2 linked regions of the Macaca mulatta genome follow. The protein of the gene in region 1 interacts with the protein of each later gene in a pairwise test. Links are inferred from orthologs where the notes say so. Each region holds a gene or a part of one and is shown in the gene's direction. Other genes may lie near its edges.

Region 1 (4,739 bases):
TCCTTAAAACTGCTAGGTAACCAATGAGTGTTCAAATATCCACTTACAAGTATTATAATATTTTCATGGTTTATGTGTTTGACTCAGCATCTAAATGAGGTCTGTGTATTGTGATGAGTTGATAAATCCTTTGCGTTTCTTTTAATATAATGTTTTTTCCTCTATTTTTTTCCTTGCAATTTATTGCTAGAACTAGGTATTTTGTCCTGTAGATTTCCCACATTCTGAATTTTGCTGATTTTATTCCTATGGTATACTTTAACATGTTTCTGTGTCCTATATTTCTTGTAAATTGGTAGTTGGACCTAGAGGTTTGGTCAGACTTGTGTTGGTTTTCTTTTGATGACTACTGCATTGATTGTGTCAGATGTGAGTTTTTTAGACCCACTTTTTGAATCTGTGAACCAGGGAGAAGCCAAGCCACAGGATAAACTAAGCGTATTTTCCAGTAGAGGCAGATTTGTGTTAATGGTTTAGGGGTTTTGGCAGGGAGGGTGTGAGGAATGGAGAACATGCCCATTGGTTTAACATTTGTAAGACTTAGTTGCGGCCAGGCGCAGTGGCTCACGCCTGTAATCCCAGCACTTTGGGAGGCTAAGGTGGGCGGATCACGAGGTCAGATCGAGACCATCCTGGCTAACATGGTGAAACCCCGTCTCTACTAAAAAAAATACAAAAAATTAGCTGGGCGTGGTGGCAGGCACCTATAGTCCCAGCTACTCAGGAGGCTGAGGCAGAAGAATGGCGTGAACCCGCAAGGCAGAGCTTGCAGTGAGCCAAGATCATGCCACTGCACTCCAGCCTGGGCGACAGAGCTAGACTCCATCTCAAAAAAAAAAAAAAAAAAAAAAAAGACTTAGTTGCTCCAAGTCATTTCCTCCTCTCTTAAATCTTTCTTGTGGGCACAGAGGTAGAAAAGGACCAAATAAAAGCAATACAAGATTCCAAGGGGCAACTGATTGAAAATATTTATCCATATCACTACACTGGTGATACCTGAATATGTATAAGGATTTTCATATACTGTCATGTGAAAACAAATTCTTGTTAGCTTTCCGTGCATTTGACCTAGGGTTTTTTTTTTTTTTTCCTAAGTGTATCTTCAAAATTATTTTGGCCGGGCGCGGTGGCTCAAGCCTGTAATCCCAGCACTTTGGGAGGCCGAGACGGGCGGATCACGAGGTCAGGAGATCGAGACCATCCTGGCTAACACGGTGAAACCCCGTCTCTATTAAGAAATACAAAAAACTAGCCGGGCGAGGTGGCGGGCGCCTGTAGTCCCAGCTACTCGGGAGGCTGAGGCCGGAGAATGGCGTAAACCCGGGAGGCGGAGCTTGCAGTGAGCTGAGATCCGGCCACTGCACTCCAGCCTGGGTGACAGAGCGAGACTCCGTCTCAAAAAAAAAAAAAAAAAAAAATTATTTTACCTGCTTAATTCATCTCTGGCTTCCAGCACTTTAGTTGCTTATATCCTTTAGAATCTGACCTTTGCTGTCATCAAATCATGCTCATGTATTTGCATACTATGGGCATGAAGCTGGGCAAGTTACATAAAAGAGCCCAGCTCTCCTGGTTTTCCCAGTGATTAGTATTAAGGAACTGTGACGTGTAATCTCTGGATAGAGCCAAGTTTCGTGAAGCATGGGTAGGGGATAGGAATGAGAATTAATCAAAGTTGAAGTGTCCTTTAAATGATCTACAATTAAGGGAAGCTTAGAACTGGGTCTTAAAGCCATATACAATCAGAGCTCTTGTGGGCAAAGTCTGGAGTATCCAGGATAATACCAGATGTACTGAAAATCAGACTTTATTTGATATGTGTTGCTAAATAAATAAAAGGAAAACTCTGTCTTCAATTTATGAGAGCGAAAGTATATGGCTACCTGACATTTTTATATAATCTTTAAAACTTTTGCCTTTAAAAAGTTACCTAGAAACATGTCGTTAGACCTTCTGGGTCACTGGGGAAGATTATCAGTGGGATTGAGATTGGTCAAGACATTGTAAATTTGGATGCTCCCAGCTTCTCTGCATTTATCCTTTTTTTTTTTTTTTTTTTTTTTTTTTTTAGCAGAGTCTTGTTCTGTTGTCCAGGCTGGAGTGCAGTGGCATGATCTCAGCTCACTGCAACCTCTTGGGTTCAAGTGATTCTAATGCCTCAGCCTCTCAGTAGCTGGGACTACAGGCACATGCAACCATGCCCGACTAATTTTTGTATTTTTAGTAGAGACAGGGTTTTGCCATGTTGGCCAGGCTGGTCTCAAGCTCCTGGCCTCAAGTGATCTGCCCGCCTTAGCCTCCCAAAGTGCTGGAATTATAGGTGTGAGTCACTGTACCAGGCCCTTCTCTGCATTTATCTACTGGGAGGTTCCTACACTGAAATCAGATAGCCTATGCCCTACAGCTTCTGTTCCATGGGTACTCTAAATTTGTGGCACTCCCAAAGGGAGATTAGGTAGGTTCTCAGGAGGATGGAGGTTAGTCTCAGATACCAGCTTACCCCAATTTCCTTGTTTTTTCAGGACACCTGACTGATAGTGAATGTAATCAGAAACACACATCCAAAAAAGGGTCACTGATAGAGCGCAAGAGGAGCTCTGGTCGGGTTAGGAAGAAAGGCGACGAGCCCCAGGCCTCAGGATACCACAGTGAAGGCAAGCCCCTCTGCACTGCTTCTCTTTCTCCTTCATTCACTCTATCAAACTTCTGTCATGCTCCAGACTGTTAGCTTCTCCTTTCTGCTCAAAGGGCTTTTCTTTGCTTTTTCGACACTGGGATCTAGTATTCATGATCACTTTAAACATCTATATTTCTTTCATTCTTTGTGTTTTTAGGAGAAACACTGAAAGAGAAGCAGGCTCCTAGAAATGCCTCCAAACCATCCAGCAGCACCAACAGGCTGAGGGATTTTAAAGAGACAGTCAGCAATATGATCCATAACAGACCATCCCTGGCTTCTCAGACCAATGTAGGCTCCCACTGTGGGGGCAGGGGAGGAGACCAGCCTGACAAAAAACCTCCTAAGACCCTACCTTTACACTCTCGTGACTGGGAAATAGAGAGTACCAGCAGTGAGTCAAAATCCAGTTCTTCCAGCAAGTATCGTCCAACATGGAGACCAAAACGAGAATCTCTGAATATTGACAGTATCTTTAGTAAGGACAAAAGGAAGCACTGTGGCTATACCCAGCTTAGCCCCTTTTCTGAGGATTCAGGTGAGGAGATAAGGGAAGAATGGGGGAAGAATTGGGCTTTTGAATAAAGTTGATTTGTGTCTTTTTAAAACCTGGGTTTTTTGGTACATCTGGCAAGGGGCATTTTTACTCTGATGTTGGGTGTTTTAAGGATATGAGTTCAGTGAGTAAGTAGCCAGAGGGAGGAGTTAGTTAGGTCTTGATTTTAGGCAAATGCTAAATCTACCTCGTTTTCCATACCTGTCTTTTGATTGGGATAGCTAAAGAATTTATACCAGATGAACCAAGCAAGCCACCTTCTTATGACATTAAATTTGGTGGACCAAGCCCCCAGTACAAGCACTGGGGCCCAGCACGGCCAGGCTCTCACCTTTTAGAGCAGCAGCCCCGACTAATCCAGCGAATGGAATCTGGCTATGAAAGCAGTGAGAGGAACAGCAGCAGCCCCGTCAGCCTGGATGCAGCCCTGCCTGAGAGCTCAAATGTCTACAGGTATTGTTTGACCTTTGAACAGTTGTGACACTGTCCCTTGCAGCAATGTGAGCCACCTACTTGGGGCTTTCAGGCAAGGTTTAGACAAGTGGAGGGAAGGCCTTTGCTACTATGTGCTCTATCAACTTCCTATAACAACAGCACCCTCTGCTGGAAGAACAAAGGCACTTGAGAAAGGAGAGAACTTTCTATGTACAGTTATCTTTGAAATACTTTGAAGTACAGTTATGTATAAAGTAATTTAAAAAAATTTAAGTTCAGGGTGTATATGTGCAGGTTTGTTATGATAAACTTGTGTCATAGGAGTTCGTTGTACAGATCATTTTGTTACCCACATATTAAGCTAGTACCCATTAATTGTTTTTCCTGATCCTCTCATTCCTCCCACCCTCCACCCTCTGATAGGCCCGTGTCTGTTGTTCCCCTCTGTGTGTCCATGTGTTCTCATCATGTAGCTGCCACTTATAAGTGACAATATGCCGTATTTGGTTTTCTGTACCTGTCTTAATTTGCTAAGGATAATGAAATAATTGTTTAGTGCTTGCTTTGGTAGCACATATACTAAAATTGGAATGATACAGAGAAGATTAGCATGGCCCCTGCTCAAAGGTGACACAAAAATTTGTGAAGATTTCCATATTTTTCAGATATGTAGGATAAACAAGTCTAGGGATCTAATGTAAAACATGAGGACTACAATTAATAAAATTGCACTGCATATGAGATTCATGGTAAATGAGTAGATTTTAACTCCTCTTGCCACAAAAACAAAAAAAAAAATGGGTGACTAGATGAGATGATGGGTATGTTAATTTCCTTCAATTATAGTAACCATTTTACTGTCTCTCATAACATCTCATAACATCATGTTGTATACCTTAAATATCTGCAGTAAAAAAATGTATTAAAGAGCAGATTAGGCCAGGCATGTTGGCTCACGCCTGTAATCTCAGCACTTTGGGAGGCCAAGGTGGGTGGATCATTTGAGGTCAGGAGTTTGAGACCAGCCTGGCCAATATGGTGAAACCCCGTCTCTACTAAAAAAACAAAAAT
Region 2 (4,739 bases), on another chromosome or scaffold:
CTTTTGAGACTAGGGAACCGGAAGTGTACGTAAGGTCAGAAGAATTTTGTTGTTCTTTGGTGAAGAGGAGAAACAAGTTGACAGCAAACTAGTTTAATCACTCTCACTATATAGAGGCTGAGTTAAAATGTATTATTTCATGGGGCAAAGATGTTAATTTTCATAACCTGGTTAGGGAGCAGAGTTTAAAAACAAAGACACAAGCAGACCTGAAGATTTTGACACCTAGGTCCTTGAGGTACGGATGATATGAGGCAAAGGAGGAAGAGAGTTTTTAGCCAGGCTTGGGATAGTAGTAGGTGAGATCATAACCCAAATTAGGCTACAGAAAGGAAGCAAGGATGAGGTCATGTGTTCAGGAAAGAAGGTGGCACATTCATGTTTGGTAGCAAAAGGAGAAACTTAAGAAAAAGAGCCAGCAGGAGGCTGGGCGCTGTGGCTCACACCCATAATCCCAACACTTTGGGGGGCTGAGGCGGGCAGATCACCCAAGGGCAAGAGTTCAAGACTAGCCTGGCCAACATGTGAAACTCCATCTCTATTAAAAATATAAAGTTAGCTGGGCATGGTGGTGCATGCCTGTAGTCCCAGCTACTCGGGAGGCCGAGGCAGAATTCCTTGAACCTGGGAGGCGGAGGTTGCAGTGAACTGAGATTGCACCATTGCACTCTGGCCTGGGCAACAAAAGCAAAACTCCATGTGTAAAAAAAAAAAAAAAACACACCAAAAGAGCAAGCAGGAAAGACCATGTGTTCAAAGCCCCCTTTGGGAAGAAGGCAGAAAAAAGACAAGGTGCTCATGGCTCATGAGACATATGACTAACTGTGAAGCTGTTGGTCTCTCTGGGCTTGTGGAGCCCACAGGTTATTTGTGCATTGGTGAATGCTTGTCCCTATAGCTCTTTGTGCCTTGTGTTTCTCTCATGTCCCAGGCTGGATGAGTTGGGGGTAGCCTCCTTGTCTGCCCCTTTCTCTTTCCTCCTTATTTTCTAACAGTCTCCTTTGTTACATCTTCCTTCATGGCGCAGTTCTTTCTATTTCCTTTGTCTTGGCTCATCCCTAGGTTACTTTTGTTTGCCTCTGATTTGTTCCCTAGCAGATGTGGGCGCCCCAGCCAGAAGCAGAGAGGGGTACAGGGAAGCTACAGAGAAGCCCCTTCTGATGCCCCAGGGAGCAAGCCGACTCCTTCCAGGCTCCAGGAACACCACAAAGCAATATGAAACCTGTTCATGAGAGGAGTCAGGAATGCCTTCCACCAAAGAAACGAGACCTCCCCGTGACCAGCGAGGATATGGGGAGAACTACCAGCTGCTCCGCTAACCACACACCCTCCAGTGATGCTTCTGAATGGTCCCGAGGGGTTGTGGTGGCTGGGCAGAGCCAGGCAGGAACCAGAGTCAGCCTGGGGGGTGATGGAGCTGAGGCCATCACCGGTCTGACAGTGGACCAGTATGGCATGCTGTATAAGGTGGCTGTGCCACCTGCCACCTTCTCACCAACTGGCCTCCCGTCTGTGGTGAATATGAGCCCCTTGCCCCCGACGTTTAATGTAGCGTCTTCACTAATTCAACATCCAGGCATCCACTATCCCCCAATCCACTATGCTCAGCTTCCATCCACCTCACTGCAGTTCATTGGGTCTCCTTATAGCCTTCCCTATGCTGTGCCACCTAATTTCCTACCGAGTCCCCTCCTGTCTCCTTCTGCCAACCTTGCCACCTCTCACCTTCCACACTTTGTGCCATATGCCTCACTTCTGGCAGAAGGAGCCACTCCTCCCCCACAGGCTCCCTCCCCAGCCCACTCATTTAACAAAGCTCCCTCTGCCACCTCCCCACCTGGGCAATTGCCACATCATTCAAGTACTCAGCCGCTGGACCTTGCTCCAGGTCGGATGCCCATTTATTATCAGATGTCCAGGCTACCTGCTGGGTATACTTTGCATGAAACCCCTCCAGCAGGTGCCAGCCCAGTTCTTACCCCTCAGGAGAGCCAGTCTGCTCTGGAAGCAGCTGCTGCAAATGGAGGACAGAGACCGCGAGAACGAAATTTAGTAAGACGGGAAAGTGAAGCCCTTGACTCCCCCAACAGCAAGGGTGAAGGCCAGGGACTGGTGCCAGTGGTAGAATGTGTGGTGGATGGACAGTTGTTTTCAGGTTCTCAGACTCCACAGGTGGAGGTAGCGGCACCAGCACACCGGGGGACCCCGGACACCGACCTTGAGGTCCAGCGAGTGGTTGGCGCTTTAGCTTCTCAGGACTATCGTGTGGTGGCAGCTCAGAGGAAAGAGGAACCCAGCCCCCTCAACCTATCCCATCATCCCCCCGACCATCAGGGTGAGGGGCGAGGGTCAGCCAGGAACCCTGCAGAGCTGGCAGAGAAAAATCAAGCCTGTGGGTTCTACCCTCAGTCCCATCAGGAACCAGTAAAACATAGACCTTTACCCAAAGCAATGGTTGTAGCCAATGGCAACCTGGTGCCCACTGGAGCTGACTCAGGCCTGCTGCCTGTGGGCTCGGAGATCCTGGTAGCATCAAGTCTGGACGTGCAGGCCAGAGCCACCTTCCCAGACAAAGAGCCAACGCCGCCCCCTATTACCTCCTCCCACTTGCCTTCCCATTTCATGAAAGGCGCCATCATCCAGCTGGCTACGGGAGAGCTGAAGCGGGTGGAGGACCTCCAGACCCAGGATTTTGTGCGCAGTGCCGAAGTGAGTGGGGGGCTGAAGATTGACTCTAGCACGGTCGTGGACATTCAGGAGAGCCAATGGCCTGGATTTGTCATGCTACATTTTGTGGTTGGTGAGCAGCAGAGCAAAGTGAGCATCGAGGTGCCCCCTGAGCACCCCTTCTTTGTATATGGCCAGGGTTGGTCCTCTTGCAGCCCTGGGCGGACGACACAACTCTTCTCTCTGCCCTGCCATCGGCTACAGGTGGGAGATGTCTGCATCTCTATCAGTTTACAGAGCTTGAACAGTAACTCAGTTTCTCAGGCCAGCTGTGCTCCCCCAGGCCAGCTGGGTCCCCCCCGAGCAAGGCCTGAGAGGACCGTCTTGGGACCCAGAGAGCTATGTGACAGTGAGGGGAAGAGCCAGCTGGCAGGAGAGGGCTCCCATGTGGTAGAGCCTTCCCAGCCTGAGCCTGGTGCTCAGGCCTGCTGGCCAACCCCGAGCTTCCAAAGATACGGCATGCAAGGGGAGGAGGCACGGGCTGCGCTGCTCCGTCCCTCTTTCATTCCACAGGAGGTAAAGCTGTCCATTGAAGGGCGTTCCAATGCGGGAAAATGAACCTCTTTCCCAGACCAGGACTGGGGCTTTACCCCAGAGCCTTGCCTCGCCGCCGTGAGCAGGCAGAGGATTTGCACACGCCGAGCAGGGAATGGCTTTCTTGGCAGTGAGATTTGGGGGAAAGGGGAGGCATGAAGTCAGCCTCCCAAGGCAGGATCTGTTGCTCATTACCCCATGGCGTCCTTTCAGGACAACCCCAGAGGGTGTTGTGATGGGGAGCAGCAGGCCTGGGGCAAGGAAGGAAGGGGGTGCACACAGGAGAAGAAACATTCCAAAATCAGGGCCTCCCTGTTCTTTCCTCCCCATCCCTAGCTCCTGCAAGAGAAAGTCCAGGCTTTGGGAGCAGATGGCAGAGGGAGGGAGTAAAGAGAGCCAAAAATGATGATCCACAGCTTATAGTAGCAGTTAAACTGTCAGAAGTTTTTTTTCTTTTTTGTGGTGGAAGGGCAGGAGGCCCCAAGGTTGGAAATAAGAGGGTTCCCACCCAGAACCCTTCTTGTGAGAGATGCGCACTTTAAAGGGTGATTTTGTTCCAGATGTCTGTGGCTGAGTGTGTAGGGGAGGAGCACTCTGATCTACAGGACTCTGCTTGATCCTCTGCTTCATAGCTCTTCCCCATCTCTCCTCACCATTCCGCCTACAAGGCTTCTAGCAGCACGGGGGCCCAGAGGGAGAGCCCCTTCAGGGTTCAGAGTGAAGTACTACCTTGCCAGGGATTAAGTCAGCGGACTTTGGGAGAGAGACTTGATAGCCAGGCTGACTGGGTTCTAGGCAGGGCCTCTGGAAAGGTAGCTCACCTAACAAAGCTCCTCCAATTCAGCATGCCAGACTCACTTTGAAATCTCACAGAATCTTGCTGGTAATGGTGACTTTAGAAAGAATTAGTAGACCCTTTTTTCCCAGGCACTGATCCCCCACCTTTGTCTGTGTTGTGCCTAAGTGCCTGCGCCGCCCCCACCCTCCTGCTGCCCTGACCTCTGCATGGTGTTGTGACCTGGGCCTCATTTGTAGCTGCGCTGCCTTTCCTTGTCTGCAAAGTTGGTTTTGTCCACTCTGACCAAGACCTCTAGTTTTTGGTGGGTAGGGGTCTCTCTGGTTTCCCCTTCAGCTATAATCTCTATTTTTAAAATCTCAAAATCATGTCCCCTCCACTTCCACTGCCAAACAGCTTGGTGGAGAAAGAAGAAGGGAACTATGCCCTGGGCCAGGGCAAATGCATGGCTGGGCAGTGCCCATCGTAGCATTTTCACACGTCCCATATGCCCCTCACATCTTGTTCCACTGCTTCTCCCGGCATTCTGGTGTCTCCAATCCATCCCCTCCCACCACCAGCTCTAAGATTCTAGGATAGGCTTGATAACATTTCAATACCTGAATAGATGTCATTTTGTGGTGGTATATTCCTCTGCAAAAAGTATTTTCAATCTTAGTTGCATTTGCACCCCCCCCCAGCC

What was found.
Region 2: the proteins of USP54 (region 1) and ATXN1L interact in binary tests that used the Homo sapiens proteins (3 or more experiments, as listed by UniProt). The link is inferred for Macaca mulatta from reciprocal best matches to the Homo sapiens genes USP54 and ATXN1L.

What each region holds. Positions count from the first base shown.
Region 1 is NC_133414.1:76,014,200-76,018,938, forward strand, and holds part of USP54 (ubiquitin carboxyl-terminal hydrolase 54), read left to right. Parts: intron 1-2,522; coding exon 2,523-2,654; intron 2,655-2,834; coding exon 2,835-3,215; intron 3,216-3,454; coding exon 3,455-3,686; intron 3,687-4,223; exon of another isoform or gene 4,224-4,330; intron 4,331-4,575; exon of another isoform or gene 4,576-4,739.
Region 2 is NC_133425.1:68,023,132-68,027,870, reverse strand, and holds part of ATXN1L (ataxin-1-like), read left to right. Parts: intron 1-1,095; 5' UTR 1,096-1,215; coding exon 1,216-3,285; 3' UTR 3,286-4,739. UniProt on the Homo sapiens protein: Chromatin-binding factor that repress Notch signaling in the absence of Notch intracellular domain by acting as a CBF1 corepressor. Binds to the HEY promoter and might assist, along with NCOR2, RBPJ-mediated repression.